Daphnia pulex: one gene and its partners. The protein of the gene in region 1 purifies or fractionates together with the protein of each later gene. This does not show direct contact. Links are inferred from orthologs where the notes say so. Each region holds a gene or a part of one and is shown in the gene's direction. Other genes may lie near its edges.

The links.
Region 2: the proteins of dihydrolipoyl dehydrogenase, mitochondrial-like (region 1) and pyruvate dehydrogenase E1 component subunit beta, mitochondrial-like purify together in Homo sapiens (affinity purification with mass spectrometry; 3 studies listed by BioGRID and IntAct, counting the BioPlex papers as one, with this or other methods). This does not show direct contact. The link is inferred for Daphnia pulex from reciprocal best matches to the Homo sapiens genes DLD and PDHB.
Region 3: the proteins of dihydrolipoyl dehydrogenase, mitochondrial-like (region 1) and dihydrolipoyllysine-residue succinyltransferase component of 2-oxoglutarate dehydrogenase complex, mitochondrial-like purify together in Homo sapiens (affinity purification with mass spectrometry; 3 studies listed by BioGRID and IntAct, counting the BioPlex papers as one, with this or other methods). This does not show direct contact. The link is inferred for Daphnia pulex from reciprocal best matches to the Homo sapiens genes DLD and DLST.
Region 4: the proteins of dihydrolipoyl dehydrogenase, mitochondrial-like (region 1) and dihydrolipoyllysine-residue acetyltransferase component of pyruvate dehydrogenase complex, mitochondrial-like purify together in Homo sapiens (affinity purification with mass spectrometry; 4 studies listed by BioGRID and IntAct, counting the BioPlex papers as one, with this or other methods). This does not show direct contact. The link is inferred for Daphnia pulex from reciprocal best matches to the Homo sapiens genes DLD and DLAT.

Annotation. Positions count from the first base shown.
Region 1 is NC_060019.1:6,199,984-6,204,235, forward strand, and holds dihydrolipoyl dehydrogenase, mitochondrial-like, read left to right. Parts: upstream 1-1,433; 5' UTR 1,434-1,538; coding exon 1,539-1,580; intron 1,581-1,771; coding exon 1,772-2,042; intron 2,043-2,101; coding exon 2,102-2,277; intron 2,278-2,341; coding exon 2,342-2,512; intron 2,513-2,600; coding exon 2,601-2,822; intron 2,823-2,892; coding exon 2,893-3,029; intron 3,030-3,101; coding exon 3,102-3,291; intron 3,292-3,346; coding exon 3,347-3,484; intron 3,485-3,552; coding exon 3,553-3,642; intron 3,643-3,710; coding exon 3,711-3,779; 3' UTR 3,780-3,908; downstream 3,909-4,252. Other genes in the region: dnaJ protein homolog 1-like, read right to left, coding at 1-148, 211-589, 656-880; tRNA-dihydrouridine(20a/20b) synthase [NAD(P)+]-like, read right to left, coding at 3,927-4,144, 4,222-4,252. UniProt on the Homo sapiens protein: Lipoamide dehydrogenase is a component of the glycine cleavage system as well as an E3 component of three alpha-ketoacid dehydrogenase complexes (pyruvate-, alpha-ketoglutarate-, and branched-chain amino acid-dehydrogenase complex).
Region 2 is NC_060026.1:4,317,835-4,321,389, reverse strand, and holds pyruvate dehydrogenase E1 component subunit beta, mitochondrial-like, read left to right. Parts: upstream 1-1,196; 5' UTR 1,197-1,291; coding exon 1,292-1,330; intron 1,331-1,408; coding exon 1,409-1,468; intron 1,469-1,523; coding exon 1,524-1,730; intron 1,731-1,796; coding exon 1,797-1,888; intron 1,889-1,963; coding exon 1,964-2,087; intron 2,088-2,160; coding exon 2,161-2,341; intron 2,342-2,411; coding exon 2,412-2,645; intron 2,646-2,711; coding exon 2,712-2,860; 3' UTR 2,861-3,022; downstream 3,023-3,555. Other genes in the region: neurotrimin-like, read left to right, coding at 24-166. UniProt on the Homo sapiens protein: The pyruvate dehydrogenase complex catalyzes the overall conversion of pyruvate to acetyl-CoA and CO(2), and thereby links the glycolytic pathway to the tricarboxylic cycle.
Region 3 is NC_060017.1:2,842,798-2,847,053, forward strand, and holds dihydrolipoyllysine-residue succinyltransferase component of 2-oxoglutarate dehydrogenase complex, mitochondrial-like, read left to right. Parts: upstream 1-1,445; 5' UTR 1,446-1,668; coding exon 1,669-1,761; intron 1,762-1,910; coding exon 1,911-2,034; intron 2,035-2,097; coding exon 2,098-2,169; intron 2,170-2,372; coding exon 2,373-2,534; intron 2,535-2,600; coding exon 2,601-2,836; intron 2,837-2,899; coding exon 2,900-3,069; intron 3,070-3,130; coding exon 3,131-3,329; intron 3,330-3,396; coding exon 3,397-3,648; intron 3,649-3,735; coding exon 3,736-3,870; 3' UTR 3,871-4,215; downstream 4,216-4,256. Other genes in the region: RNA-binding protein 25-like, read left to right, coding at 1-3, 74-193, 258-403, 469-615, 681-776; iron-sulfur cluster assembly 2 homolog, mitochondrial-like, read right to left, coding at 897-1,071, 1,131-1,384. UniProt on the Homo sapiens protein: Dihydrolipoamide succinyltransferase (E2) component of the 2-oxoglutarate dehydrogenase complex. The 2-oxoglutarate dehydrogenase complex catalyzes the overall conversion of 2-oxoglutarate to succinyl-CoA and CO(2).
Region 4 is NC_060017.1:7,713,910-7,718,223, forward strand, and holds dihydrolipoyllysine-residue acetyltransferase component of pyruvate dehydrogenase complex, mitochondrial-like, read left to right. Parts: upstream 1-1,478; 5' UTR 1,479-1,630; coding exon 1,631-1,749; intron 1,750-1,954; coding exon 1,955-2,139; intron 2,140-2,206; coding exon 2,207-2,485; intron 2,486-2,548; coding exon 2,549-2,871; intron 2,872-2,951; coding exon 2,952-3,121; intron 3,122-3,239; exon of another isoform or gene 3,240-3,311; intron 3,312-3,401; coding exon 3,402-3,564; intron 3,565-3,623; coding exon 3,624-3,893; 3' UTR 3,894-4,094; downstream 4,095-4,314. Other genes in the region: cyclic AMP-responsive element-binding protein 5-like, read right to left, coding at 1-87, 154-821, 883-969, 1,089-1,191, 1,274-1,324.

The DNA of each region.
Region 1 (4,252 bases):
GGCGTCTGGTCCCCTTCTCGCTGGAACGTGATTTTTGTTCCTGCTTTCCAGCCTGGCTTGACGTTTATGGTTAATACTTTGTCTTCTTTTTTAGACGTGCCATCTGCCTGGTAAACTTTGCGGGAGATTTTCATCTTTTTGGTACATCCTAAAAATAGCCAGCAAAGTAAATCACAAATCCAAGAACTGAGTATTACAAAATAAATTTACCTTTAAGAACTTCTTCTAATGTGACGTTAAGGTCGTATTCAATGGGCGGATCTTGTACTTTCTCTTTTCCCATTCCTGGCCCGTGCATGTTGAAACTCTGAGATCGGAAAGCTCCCCCGGGATTTCTTCCTCCAAATCCCAAGTTGATAAAAGGGTCATCCACGTCCATGTCTTCACCACCTTCTGGAAAGAATCCTCTGTTTCCACCTTGCTGCTGTTGACCCATTCCACCCATTGTGAAGAAGGATTCAAAAGGGTTGGATGAACCGAAAAATTGAGCAAACGTGGCCCTTGGATCACCATGATAGGCGTAGGAAAAGCTGGCACCCGGACCGCCGCCGCCTCCTCCTCCGCCGCCACCACCACTTCCCAATCCACCCTTTTTAAGTACAAATATGATGTAAAAACTTAAGTCATTTAATAGGAGAATAGTTCATTTTCTTACCTTTAATCCTTCTTCTCCATACTGATCAAAGACATCTCTCTTCTTTTTGTCACTTAAAACTTCATATGCTTCTGCTACCTCCTTAAATTTGTCTTCTGCACCTGGTGCTTTATTTTTATCAGGGTGGTATTTCAATGCCAGTTTACGGTATGCCTTCTTGATTTCATCATCAGTAGCTGATTTTGATATTCCAAGAATTTTGTAATAATCTTTTCCCATTTTCATGAAGGAAGCCTAGAATGTATTGGAAAGTGAAAACTAAACAAAAGAGAACTTGATTAATGGAGGGTAATTGGATTTTGCTTGGGGATAACTGAATTTTAAAAAACTCAATATGTTTAAAATAATCTAAGTAGGAAATTCTTAAGGAAAAGAGGGAGAGTAACAAAACGGTGTGATGCGTGATGCCCAAAGAAGGTCAACGATTCAGGGTCGTCGATGACGTCGACTTCTAAGTTTGGACTGTGACACAATTTAACCCACCACCAATACGTACTAGTTAAAACGTTTGATTATTACCTTTCTGTATTACAGAATAGTAGAGCTTGGACTCGAAACACTTAAATGATAAAACGTTTGTTTTATTGGAACACTAGTTGTTCGCAAGAGTAGATTTCTCGACTTAATCGACTCGTACAAGTCACAGCTTCAAATAGCGAGAAAATGAGCCCCAGCGAGTGTATGTATCCGTTTGTTATGAATCGAGAACGTTCTCAAATAGTCTGGAAAACACGTTTCCATCTCCTGGTGGAAAGAAAAACAATTTGTAAGTTTTAACATAGTTCACCCTTTCTAGTACAGATGGTGATAGTGTCGCTGAACAGCTGAACAACTTCTGACCGCTGGGAAAAAGCTCGTGAAATCGTGAAGAACTAAAATAAAAATGCAAGTTAATATTTTGAGTAAATTGCCTCAAAATCTTAAGGTATTTCCATTGCATTCAAAAAATTATCTATTATAAAAATTTAAAAAGTATTTCGTCACCGTACTAATGCGATTCAACGTATTTTAACTGTTTATTGGGGACCAAGACATGTTGAGCCTTCTTTTTTCTTTAATCTGGTGTAGCTATTAAAAAGAATAAACTTATTATGTAATATCTTTTCTTGGTTACAGGTCACTGCAGCTGTCAGGAACCAATTAGCTAACTGCAGATGGTACTCTGACAGTACTGAAGCTGATCTGGTGGTCATTGGCTCGGGCCCTGGTGGTTATGTGGCAGCTATCAAGGCTGCCCAGCTGGGAATGAAAACAGTCTGTGTAGAGAAAAATGCAACCCTTGGAGGCACTTGCCTTAATGTTGGCTGCATTCCTTCCAAAGCACTATTGAATAATTCTCACTACTATCACATGGCCCAAAGTGAATTCAAAAATAGAGGAATTGATGGTGATTAATTATTTTAAGATTTATAATGTGAACTGAATTAAATCAATACTTTTCTCTAGTTACTGGCCTTTCATTGAACCTTCCTCAAATGATGAAAGCAAAAGAAACAGCTGTGAAATCTTTAACTGGAGGAATTGCTCATTTATTCAAGAGCAACAAAGTGACACACATCAGAGGACATGGTAAAATTACTGGTGCGAATGAAGTTACTGCTCTTAAAGAAGATGGAACCCAGGTATTAATTAATAATATTAACTGTGTATTTCATGGAAAATTCTATTTTGTTTTCATCTCGGTAGGAAATCGTCCGAACCAAGAATATTTTGATCGCAACGGGATCAGAAGTGACACCATTCCCCGGAATCGATATCGATGAAGAACAAATTGTCTCGTCTACTGGCGCACTTTGTTTAAAAACCGTTCCAGAGAAAATGATTGTCATCGGAGCAGGAGTCATTGGTTTGGAATTGGTAACATTTACTTTATTTGACATAAAAAAGCTTTAAAAAAATAATATTTAAAAAAAAAAAAAATTCTTAATTAATTAAATAATTATAGGGATCAGTGTGGTCTCGACTTGGAGCCAAGGTGACGGCTGTTGAATTTATGAATCAAATCGGTGGTTTGGGTATTGATCAAGAAATGGCAAAATCGTTCCAAAGAATCCTCACCAAACAACACATGCAATTTAAATTGGGAACCAAAGTGTTGGGAGCACAAAAATCCGGCGGAAAAATCATTGTGAACGTCGAAAATGTCAAATCTGCCAAGAAAGAAGAGGTACTAAACAACACCTCTCCCCTATCCATGGACATACCGTTCTAATTTTATCATATGCCTGATAATTCAGATGGATTGCGACGTTCTACTGGTTTGTGTTGGTCGCCGTCCCTTCACGAAGAGTTTAGGTCTTGAAGAAATGTCCATCGAACTCGACCAGAGAGGAAGAATTCCGGTCAATTCACGTTTCCAGTCCGTTGTCCCCAAGTGAGTATCACCTTACTTAAACGTCTCGGTATAGTGTGTTCTGTACTACATGAAATGTGTTAAACTCGGTAGCATCTACGCCATTGGTGATTGCATTCTCGGCCCCATGCTGGCCCACAAAGCTGAAGATGAAGGCATTATCTGTGTCGAAGGAATTGCAGGAGGATCCGTTCACATCGACTACAACTGCGTACCTTCCGTCATTTACACACACCCTGAAGTTGCTTGGGTTGGAAAATCCGAAGAGGACTTGAAATCAATGGTAATTTCCTAATATTTATACCCTTTTTTAACTTATCATGCTTTATTGAATTTAGGGAGTTGAATACAAAATTGGTAAATTCCCCTTCGCCGCCAACAGCCGCGCCAAGACAAACGATGATACCGATGGTATGGTTAAAATCTTAGGAGACAAGACTACTGATCGCCTTCTTGGAGCTCACATAATTGGACCCGTACGTTATCTTTTGTTTCTACCATGTCATTTAAATTGTAATAAATTACATTTGATGATATTATTCAGGGTGCCGGCGAAATGATCAACGAAGCCGCATTAGCCATGGAATATGGTGCTTCCTGCGAAGACATTGCCCGCGTTTGCCACGCCCATCCGGTATACTAATAATTTGAATTATTGTCCAAGAAAATATTTTCGTCTAACTTCGTTTTTCTCATTTACAGACCTGCTCGGAAGCACTGAGGGAAGCCAGTCTCGCAGCTTTCTCCGGCAAAGCCATCAATTTCTCATAAGCGTTAGCAAGCTTAGATTATAATATAGATAATTCTATGGATTCCCCCATTCTTTAACTGCAGTCCTTGTATGAGGTTGTATGTGTGTAAAAAAAGAAACAAGCTTAAATATAAACGCCTAACATAAAATTCAACCGAAATCATTCTTTATTCACATAAAGACAAGTAATTTTCCATATAGTCGATCACGGCAGTGGTACTGGACAGCGCATTAAAATATCTCCTGTCGACTCGTGACATATTTTTCTCGCACATGTAGATGAGATGATGATGAAAGTGAGTGAAGGAGATACCAGTTTCTAAAGAAAGCTTCATCCAGTCTTTGATGCACTCGATGGGAGTTTCGGAGAATCCAGCAAACATTGCTAAACAAACAGTAGCAAAAGCCAAAATATTAAATCAAATGCTATAAGAAACATGGAGAATAAGATGTTTCAATTACCTGGATTTTCTAAGATTCCTCTAGCTGACAT
Region 2 (3,555 bases), on another chromosome or scaffold:
CTAATTATTATTTCGTCATTTAGGTTCGTCAAGTTGTACGATCTCTTCGTGGACGTGGGTTGCAACAACCTTCATTCTAATCGGATGGACGGCGATCAACAGTGTTGTAATAAACGTCAAAGCCACTACTACCTTTAACACGGCGAGGCGGAGATCTACTTGGTGAATGTCGATTGCAAATGATTCAATTCTTCTGCGTTTGTTTTCTTTTGACGTTCAAATGTGAAATGGTCGGAATGTCTGTTTGTTCGGACGAGTCTCATTGTTGCAATATAATATATGTCTGTGGTTATTTATCTCCTGTACAGATCTGTATCGCATCCATTCCAAACTGTGTGTCACTTTTTCTTCGTTTTACTCCTCCCGTGTAAATTGTATGTTCTATTCCATGGTTCTATATATCTTCTCTCAAACTTTCCAATTTCCCTTGTTCCTCAATGAAATGAGCACGAAATACTAAATAATTTCACCTATATATAAAACGAAGCCGTCGACGACAAAACGTAAAAACTTCTAACTATACTCGTTTTTTAAACACAACAAACCAATTACGACAGTTGACAACTCGACCTTTCCCGAGTTGTTTCATCAGACGGCTATCCATCAAGATTGACACATCGGCACTAGAACAAAGACGAAAGCGGAAAAGTATAATACAATATCTAGGAAATTTTACATTTTAGTCTTGTTTCACTGGTGTGTAGTGTGCTTAATTTAATCCAGATATTAAAGAATACCAAAAACTAGGGGTACATTATATTCCAAAGATGCTAGGTCAGGCACTTTTCCACAATAATGGCGATAAATCAAAGCGTCAAAATCAAATCTAATAATAATTGATGGGCACAATCACTTCCGATCACTTCCAATCCAATAGCTCAAACGGTAATTATAATGCTTCCGTTTGCCTCATATCCAACCAATGGGATTAGTTGCTAACCGTTTTTGCGGAAATCAACTGAATCCAGCACTCGCCGGAGCCGGAATAAGAGGTTTTGTTTCACAGGAAGTGCTGCAACATAAACTTAGACTTATGTGGTCGTACTTTTAATGTGTAATACAAAAGCATACATAGGCCTAAATAAGAACAAATATGCAGCTTTTATGTTCAAAATGACAAAAAAAAAATGAAAATATTCAATGTGCTTGATGTCGTGTCTGCGCTACTTGGTTGCGCATGCTGAAGCGCCTTTTCCTCCACCTACCGGTTATGTGAAAAACTATGCGTTCTATTAATAAGTCGATCACGATCAGCTGATCACGCCTTTCTGTATAAAGCACACGACCGGCTATGGCGGCTCCTCTTGCGAAATCCACAATGATGTTAAAGGTAAAAGTAGCTTGCATAATCATATCTGCTATTATTATTACTGTTTTTATTCATTTTCATACTCATTTCCCGAAACAGAATGCTTTTAAATATGTTGGACTACGAGGAATATCCACTTCTCGTCCAGCCTCTGCACAGGTATGGACGGTAATAGCAGGTTGCTTGAATGCTAAAGGCTCATATTTCATTTTAGCTTACAGTGAGAGATGCCCTCAACTCCGCCATTGATGAAGAAATGGAAAGGGATGAGCGAGTTTTCATTCTGGGTGAAGAAGTTGCTCAGTATGATGGAGCCTACAAGATTTCTAGGGGCTTGTGGAAAAAGTATGGCGATAAACGTGTCATTGATACCCCCATCACTGAGATGGGCTTTGCTGGTATTGCCACAGGTGCTGCTATGGTAAGTTTGAAGTGTAACAAGTTTTACTGACTAAATATTTTCAACTTTCCTTCCAACTATCCTCAGGGAGGACTACGACCTATTTGTGAATTCATGACATGGAACTTTTCGATGCAAGCAATTGATCATGTAATTAACTCAGCTGCTAAAACCTTCTAGTATGGATGCTTACTTCAATTTTTCCTCAAATATTGGAATCTTAATTATTTTATTCATTCTTCCATTTATTTAAGTATGTCAGCTGGATTAGTCAATGTACCCATTGTCTTCAGAGGACCTAATGGAGCTGCAGCTGGAGTTGCTGCCCAGCACTCACAGTGCTTTGGTGCATGGTATAGCCACTGTCCTGGCCTGAAGGTAGTCAACAATTCTTTATTTAACTGTGGTTCTATAATTATAACAGCTTCACTCCCTGGGGGTGATGTTTTAGGTTGTAGCTCCCTATTCCGCGGAAGATGCCAAAGGTTTGCTGAAAGCTGCAATTCGTGATCCTGACCCTGTCGTATGTCTAGAAAACGAAATTATGTACGGAACTGCTTTTGACGTTTCTGACGAGGTTTTGTCAAAGGACTTCATTGTGCCCATTGGCAAAGCTAAAATCGAGCGTGTTGGTAATACGTGAAATATTCTTAGACAAAAACAAATTTCTTTGTCTTATCTTAACTTGTTTTCTTAAACTAGGTAAGCACATAACTTTGGTAGCCTTCTCTCGAGCAGTTGCTACGTGTTTAGATGCCGCAAAGGAGTTAAGTGCCATTGGCATTGAAGCCGAGGTGGTCAATCTCCGAAGTCTACGACCATTAGATTTTGATACCGTCATGGAATCGGTGAAAAAGACAAATCACTTGGTGTCAGTAGAGCACGGCTGGCCACAGTCAGGTGTAGGCGCTGAAATTGTTTCTCGAATGGTTGAAGGTAATTAAATAAGATTTCTCCAGTCTGCATTCGGTTTCATATATCTGTGTTATTGCGAATTTCAAGGCCCAGGATTTTACTATCTCGATGCCCCACCCGTCCGTGTGACCGGCGCTGATATCCCTATGCCCTACGCCAAGACTCTCGAAGATAATTCTCTTCCTCAAGGAAAAGATGTGGTCCGAGTTGTTAAGAAAATTCTGAACGTGCAATAGTTGGACTAAGTTCGACACACCAGTGAGACAAGACCAACATCAAAAATTTCCTAGATCTTGTATACTATCTTTCTCTCTCATTCTTTTCTCGTGCCGATGTGTAAATCTTCATGGGTAGTCTAAAGAAGCATCAACTCGGAAATTTCGAGTTGTTAACTGTAATTGTTGTCTTTTAATTGGTAGTTAACGTAACTTATAACTACATATTTGATTCCTGCCTGTTATAATGGTGACTCATTTTAGTTATTTTGGCTTAAGGGAATAGGCAACGTTTCATCTAATTGTTACAAAATCAATTCAAATCTTGTGACTTCTCCACTCGCCAGGGTTCCATCACTTAAAAAAAAAATTAAGAACAAAGAAATCTGGAAAATCGTGATACCTGAGACATTGTAAGAGTATAGTACCTGAACGATTTAGTAGTAACAGCTTTGCAAAATTCTAGTCGACTAATTCAAGTCCAGTTGCCATGGGACATAATTGTCTGGATTCAAAAGCTTGTTCTCGTGAAGGAAAAATCGCAATCAAGGGTCATGGCTCATATGGAATATAAATGCTTTGTAAGGACCACGCAAGACCTTTGAATGAGATTTCATTCGTGCAAAAACCGGATTGAAATTTTAAATTTTCATATCCATTTTTTAATTAATGAATAGTGTATACTGCATAGTGAATGCCTCCCTCGTCGTTGGGGC
Region 3 (4,256 bases), on another chromosome or scaffold:
AAGGTACGATAATTGGCCATCGATTGCCCAACCAACATATGTATAACTAATTGTTTCTCTTTCTGTATTACAGGATCACAGGGACCCAGTTTAGTATTCAATAAGCGGAAAAAGCTGGAAATCAAAGCCGTTTTCAATGCTGATGAAGACGATACAGACACGACCAAGAAGAAACGGAAACTTGTACCTCTTGGTAACATAATCAGATATTTTCTTTTCCGTAACATTTCTGTTTTAATTAATTTCTTTTCCAATAGACTATGGCGATGAACTTGCTAAAAAGGAAAAAGAGCCCAAGAACACAGAGGAGAAGAGAAAAAATATCAAGAGTCTTATCGAGAAAATTCCAACGGATAAAGCATCCCTCTTTGCTCATCCTGTTGAGTGGAGCTTAGTGGACAATGTAAACAATGAACAAGTACGCGTTGTCGAATAACCACTTAAATTCTTGTTTTATTTTCTCCATAGGTGATAATGGAGCGGCGGATTAAACCGTGGGTCAATAAAAAGATCGTGGAGTACATCGGAGAGCCCGAGCCTACTCTAGTTGAATTCATTTGTTCCAAAGTATTGATAGGAAGCCAACCACAAAATATCATCAATGATGTTCAGATGGTAAGGTCTTAATTTCTATAAATTCTAAAATGTAATTCCTATTTTAACAATTTTATTTTTATTAGGTACTTGATGAAGAAGCAGAGGTCTTTGTTGTCAAGATGTGGCGCTTATTGATCTATGAATTAGAAGCAAAGAAATTGGGTCTCATGACTAAGTGAAAAGGGGTGATTGCATTGGGTCTCTATTTTGCAATTGGTTGTTGTTACATTCACCCCATATTATGTACAACTAATTACACAGCAATTTGACAAAAACACTGCTTTGAATAGATTTTTAAATCAAACTTTGAGAGAAAATGAAGCACCACATGAACAACCACTTTCAGCTTTGGGGTTCTTCAATATGTGGAAGGCAGAGCGGATCAACTCAGACTGGAAATCAATTGTTGCTCCTTCAAGGTATTGCATGGAATCTTTGTCAATAAAGACTCTCGCACCATCTCTTTCAACCACACTGTTTTAATGAAAACTGTCAAAAATTATGTTGATTTAGTTTAGTTTTTAAGTACAAACCAGTCATCTTCATTTGCCGTGGTGTCCAAATTAAACAAGTACTGAAATCCCGAACATCCTCCTCCTTCTACCGATATCCGAAGCGTTTTCTCTGGGGATTTTTTATGCAGTTCCTTCAATCGTTGGACGCACTTATCCGTCATCTTTATAGATCCTTGTACGGTATCCATTTGAACAGCATTGTTTAAAGATGAGAATGCCGAAATATGTGATGGGAATCTGGTTAACCGGTTTACTAATGCCGCATAAAACATTGTTATTGTTTAGCAGAAATATCACGTAACAATACGAAAACGAAACGAATTCAGACGAAAAAAAGCACAACCACAGTTGCATTTTACTTTTATTTTGAAAAACTCGTCATAAAATTCTTAATTCCCGGTTTATTCATACACGAAGATAAAATAACGTTTTTAATTCTAAAATTTTAATTTAAAATTTTGAAGGAGAGTTTTTATATTGTTTTTAAAGTTAACCAGCAAAGTCAAATTTCATTCGCAACTAACATCAAGATCAGCCGAAGTCGAACAGAAAAATCATGGCTGCTCTACGTCTCTCCCTAGGCTCTTCGAAGCAAATTGCAAAAGTATTTCGTGGCAATTTCAGAGTTTCGGCTTGTTTCAAACATCAGGTTATACATGTTTATATAAGAGTAAATAATAAAATAAAAATGTGTCAATGAAGTTCCTTGTACCTTGGATGATTTTGCCACATCCTGTTGGTTACTTTCATCTTACAATTAATTTAATGATATTTCTTCTTATTTGTTTTTTATCTCAGGAAACATGTGAAATTGGTATTCAAGAGCCTAGCTACCTGTCCATCCAACAGCGAAATGATGTGAGGTGCCAATGGAATCCAATCACAGTTTTCAGTCGAGGATTCAGAACTTCTGCAGTACTAGGTGAAATTCACTAGTTCCAAATGGCAATAAATAGTCATAATAATAAAAAAATACTTTTTTTAGGAGATGCGAAAACTGTGATGGTACCACCATTTGCAGACTCCATCAGTGAGGGTGATGTAAGATGGGATAAAGGTATGCTTCTTCCAGAGAGTATTGGTACAACTGTATTAGTAGCACAGAAATGATCTTTGAGTGAAAATGTCAATCTTGAAGCTTAATTTCAGTATTTTCAAGTCAAAGATTTCAAATCATTTTGCGTCCTTTTTTTTCAACTTGATAGACTTGCACCTGTGGATCTTATGGTGTTTTTCATAGAATGTTTTTGTTTTCTTTAGCTGTTGGTGATACAGTCCAAGAAGATGAAGAAGTATGCCATATTGAAACGGACAAAACATCGATCCCGGTTAAAGCCCCTTGCAGTGGGGTCATTACTGAGTTGTGCGTTAGTGATGGTGCTACTGTTCAACCCGGAGCTAAACTCTTTATTATGAGTGCAGGTAACTATTATGCTACCAGAAAATTTCTACATTTTTAAAATAAATTTAAACCGTTTCTTAATCTAGGAGGTGCTGCCAAAGCTGCTGCTCCCGCTGCTGCTGCTGCTGCTGCTCCTCCAACACCTTCACCAGCTGCTCCTGCTCCTCCACCGCCTACCCCTGCCGCCCAACCTGTTTCTGGTGCGATCCCATCAACACCTCCTCCTCGCCCATCCCCTCCAACAACCCCTATTTCTGCCATCCCAGCAGCAAGCATCCAACCTCGGGTTGCTGCTCCTGTTAACGTTACGCAGACGTCCCAAGTACGAATTAAATGTCATTCCCCCATCATTTTAACCTTTTTCTTAATTTTTTCTTATCTCTAGGCTGTTCCCCTAGCCCGTCTTCCACCTGCAGATTATAGCAAGGAAATTACTGGCACAAGAACCGAACAACGCGTTAAAATGAACCGCATGCGACTGCGTATTGCTCAGCGGCTGAAGGAAGCCCAAAATGTCAACGCTATGTTGACAACTTTTAACGAAATTGATATGAGGTAGTATGCCATTGTCTCTTGATGCCATAGGTGGATTAACGTATTTCGTTTAAATTCACAGCAACATCATGGAGCTGAGAAAAACACACGGTGACGCCTTCTTGAAAGTTCACAAAATCAAGTTGGGTTTCATGTCAGCTTTCGTCAAGGCCGCGGCTTGCGCCCTTGCTGATCAACCTACTGTCAATGCCGTCATCGACGGAAATGAAATCGTCTATCGCGATTACATCGACATATCTGTGGCGGTTGCCACACCAAAAGTAATTCTGCTACAGTTTAGCATTAAGAGTTAAATTATTAATAAATTTTTTTGTTTTAAATTTGAAGGGTTTGGTGGTGCCTGTTCTACGTAATCTAGATTCTATGAACTATGCTGACATTGAAAAGGCTATTGCCGCAATGGGTGAGAAGGCAAAGAACAACGCATTGGCTGTAGAAGATATGGATGGAGGTACTTTTACCATCTCCAACGGTGGAGTCTTCGGCTCATTATTCGGTACCCCAATCATCAACCCTCCGCAATCTGCTATTTTGGGCATGCATGGAATTTTTGATCGTCCCGTCGCACGCAATGGCCAGGTACGATAGACTAAAATTAATAACTAACGACTCATCAAAACAGATATCAATCACGAGTTGTTATTATATTTAAATTGATTTCTTTAGGTGGTTATTCGTCCCATGATGTTCGTAGCTTTGACTTACGACCATCGGCTTATCGACGGCAGGGAAGCTGTGACTTTCTTGCGCAAAATCAAGCAGACAATCGAAGACCCCCGTACTCTGCTCTTATCAATCTAAGATAAGCTTTTCATAGAAAGGGACTTTATATATTGCGAATCATTTATAGGAAGCACTAGTTTAAAGTTCCCGATTCAGTTGCATTCTACGAATCTAGAAGGAAACATGAGAGTTATAAATAATAATAAAAAAATAAAAAGAATCGAGTGTTCCCTTAAACACACTGAACTGCGTTCGTCTGTTTTCGGTCTTTTTTCTTTATTCTTCTTTATTTCGTTTTCTACCCCTAGGTGGCAGTGAAAGACGAATCACGTATGAAAATCTTCTTTATTTCGTTTTCTACCCCTAGGTGGCAGTGAAAGACGAATCACGTATGAAAATACACTATTTCTGTTTGAATCATCACAAAATCCGTGTGCTCCTGATCCTTTTAGTAAGGATTAAAG
Region 4 (4,314 bases), on another chromosome or scaffold:
ACCACTTGCATCGCTGGTGCCACAAGGGGAATTTCCGTTTAAAGGCTGATTTGCAGGTTTAGCTTTCGTTAGCGCTTGTTTCAGTTTCTATCAATTAAAAATATTGTTGAGAAGAGTAAAGGATATTGATAAAGAAATTATTTTTGTTGGTACCAATTTGGCTTCCGACATTACTGGTCTTGCTGACTTAATTTTGCAACTACTTTGTTCCACGCCAACAGGAGCCAATGGAGATCCTACAGCAGGATTCACTATTTTAGATGCGTCAGTTTCGGTAGGTACAGGAATAGCAGGAATTTGAACTAAACGTCCATCAGGAAGACGTAGCAGAAGCGATGTCATAGGATCACTGGTGGCAGATGATTGAACAATCGGACGAGGCATAATATTCACAGTTGGGTTTGTGGCTGTCTTTGTGCAATTGCTTTGAAAAGTGTTGTTTTTCTTCGGTCGATCTTTTCTTGAACTGCAGGTAATTATTGAAGTGGAAATTGTTTTGCCGCAATCAGATAATGTGGCGGTCGTTGTATCTACTCTTTTGTTGAAAAATCCTTGGGACTCGGTTGTAGGAGCTGTTACAGTAATCAATGGAGTTGGTACAGGAGTTGTTGCTGGAGATGGAAGAGTCAGACATTCTGATGTGGACAATGATGGCATGAGGTAATTTTTTCTAACATTAGCTGATTTGGGAGGAGGCAACTGTGTAACTACATCTGAATCCAGTGGAAGCACAGGGAAGACATGAGGAGTGTGGAGAACATCATCTGATGTGGGAAGTGAAGGAGGACTGAGATGAGTCTCAGCTGCTCTTCTAAATTGCTCTAAAAAAAACAAATTGAACTATTTTTGACAAGTTTTCTGTAGTTAATAGTGGCATTTTACCATCAAAAGGATTGACATTCAAATCTTGAAAAAGCCCAACTTCTTCACAGTTTCTAATAAATCTTGTTGGGGTGGGGGTTTCATCAGCTATAATAGTTAAAAATTAGATTAATACAAAGGAAGGGTAACAGAATTTATTAACACAAAAATTTACATTTCATTTGTATTAATGAAGTACAGAGTTAGACATAAAAAAATCAACTCACCCACAAAATTAGGTGTCTTTGAGCCATTATTACTAATTGATTCAATTGAAAGGGACATGTGTCTCTTTTTATGAATACTCAAGTGGTCTTCATTGGCGAACCTCTTTAATTGCGAAAACGATGAATGAATAAGATAGCAAAACACCAACAGTCAACATTAAATAAAACTGTTTACAAATTATTACCATAGAACAACCAGGACTGGAGCAAGGAAATGGTTTCTCGTCATCCACCATTTGAGTATTTGAGGGAAATATCTTTAAACGATTCAATTGCGCAATAGAAAACGCGAAAATTAACGAAAATATTGAAGTAAACAATCTACAATCGTACACAAGTGGTTTTTCTTTCGAAAGATTCTCAGAACTGAGAAGAAAGGTATAGCAGACTACATTACGCTCTTTTAGGGTTGTGGACTTGTGGTCTGCAGACTGCAGTTTTTTGGGTTACCAAAAAATCAGCTGTTCTAACCTGCCTTCGTCTTCTTCATATGAGCACACCGTGATTTCCACTTCCAGTTCCGCTCATATAATTCCTTGAAAATGTTCCGATCATCGTTAGTTCGAAAGGCTTGTGTTGCAAAGATTACTTTGGAAAATGCAACGAAAACACGAGCTGCAAGGAAACTTTCGACGGTTGTGTTTCAGAAGGATATTTCAAGGTAATCATAGTTTTTCAACTAGCAGGAGCAAAAGCGTTTTTTCCCTATGATTTCCCATACATACAATTGTGTATCAATACTATTTATCTAAATTTTATCAAAATATATAAAAGATTACATTATCTTAGAAAGTATGTATGAAATAAGTGGATTGACGATCTGCTATTATTGTCTGCAAGCATTTTACTGGTGGTTTACTTTCTAGACGTGGAGAAACATATGTTGACAAGAGCACTGGGTATTCAACAGTCTCTATCATAACTGGACTCCATAAAACATCAGTAAGGATGTATGCCAGTGGTACACTTCCTTCCCATAAAAGAGTTGAACTGCCCGCATTGTCTCCTACCATGGAATCTGGAACTCTTATTAGTTGGGAAAAGCAAGAAGGTATACATACACCTTTAATAGTAAATTTCTTTTAATCACTCATTTGCTTGTATATATATTTTTTTAGGTGACAAACTTAATGAGGGAGACCTTCTAGCTGAAATTGAAACCGATAAGGCCACTATGGGATTTGAAACTCCAGAAGAAGGATACTTGGCTAAAATTATGATCCCTGCTGGCTCCAAAGATGTTCCAATTGGAAAATTGGTTTGCATCATTGTTGAAAAGGCTGAAGATGTAGCAGCTTTCAAAGATTTCAAAGACGATGGGGCTGCTGTTGCTGCTCCACCAGCTTCTCAACAACCAGAAATCATTACTCCATCTCAATCATCAGTTGCTACAGCTGGTATGCCATTTTATTTTTCATGCATTACATAATGCACACCTTATTTACAAGTTACATCCTTAGCTCCAGTACCCTCATCCACCGCCGCAACTTCTTCTGAGAGGGTATTTGCGTCACCATTGGCTAAAAAAATGGCTGCCGAGAAAGGAATTTCATTGGCATCTGTATCTGGTGGTTCAGGATTCGAAGGATCGATCACAGCTAAAGACCTTGATAAATTGTCTGTGGCTCCGAAACCCGTTGCTGCAGTTCCACCAACTGCAGCTGCTCCTATTCAAGCAGTTGCTGGACAAAAATATACGGATCTTCCTGTAACTAATATCCGTGGTGTTATCGCAAAACGTTTACTACAGTCCAAACAATCTATCCCTCATTATTATTTGACGGTAATAACTCGGTTTTCTTAAATATTGTGTGATAGAGAAATATTGTATAATGTAAATAATGATGCAACTTCTTACGCTAGGTGGACGTTACCATGGATTCAGTACTTTCACTTCGTCAGGAATTTAATGCACTACTAGGAAAGGATGGGGCCAAGCTGAGTGTTAACGATTTTGTCATTAAAGCTGCTGCTCTAGCTTGCCGTAAAGTTCCTGAAGTAAATTCATCGTGGCAAGAAACTTTCATTAGACAGTAAGTCAATTCTCTCATTGAACTGGTTCATGCTAGATTTTTCTATTTCGCATGTCGCGTGTCATGAACACGTGACTTGCGCAGCGATAACCCGACTACTTGTTTGTATCATAGCATAGGGGGTATAGCTCAGTGGTAGAGCATTCGACTGCAGATCGAGAGGTCCCCGGTTCAAACCCGGGTGCCCCCTCTCCTTTTTTTCAAGATTTTTATTCATTATTTTTACATATGTGTTGAAAATGTTATGACATGTCAGTAAAGGAACTATTTTTGCTTATAGGTATGACACGGTGGATATTAGTGTAGCCGTGAGCACAGATCGTGGTCTTATTACACCTATCGTCTTTAATGCTGAGAGAAAAGGTCTCGCTTCTATCAGTGCTGATGTACGCACATTAGCTGGCAAAGCTCGCGATGGAAAACTTCAGCCCCACGAATTTCAGGTAATAAATCGAAGATTGATTTAAGTAAATAACTATTTAATCCAAATTTTGTTAAATAGGGCGGCACTTTTTCCATCTCGAACCTTGGAATGTTTGGAGTTCGAAATTTCACTGCCATCATAAACCCACCCCAGTCATGCATTCTGGCAGTTGGAGGAACTGAAAAACGACTGGTAGTTGATGCATCCGCTGAGCAAGGTTTCCGTGCTGCCAATGTCATGACTGTGACGTTGAGTAGCGACCATCGTGTTGTGGATGGTGCAGTCGGCGCCCAGTGGCTGGCTGCTTTCAAGAGTTACCTTGAAAAGCCTAGCACAATGCTTTTGTAAAAAAAAATATCTAGCAAAGCAACCTTCGTGAATGTATGTTGTATCTTAAAAGTAAGGTAGTTTAGTTGAATTAGGAAATCTAGTTGATCCTAAGTTTTTTGTTTTAAAATCAAATTGGATTACCATTTTTCAGATCTGTACTGTTATTCTGTTAAAAAACCCTGTGAATAGTAGGGGACAAATAAAAAAGTGCTGACGAAATATCCTCGTAATTTATTCTTTGAATTTAACAAGCAACACGTGAGACAACAAATCAATTAAATATAAATTGAATTGAGCTCATGCCGTCATTTTAAGTTAAGTCTTCAAGTGACATTGAAATAAACACTTGAGTTAACATGGTAAGTGAATAAGGCGGGGTGTGAGAAACTGGGAAGATTGCACAAAGCCAAGCTAATGAGCTGACGGTTTATCAGGGTTT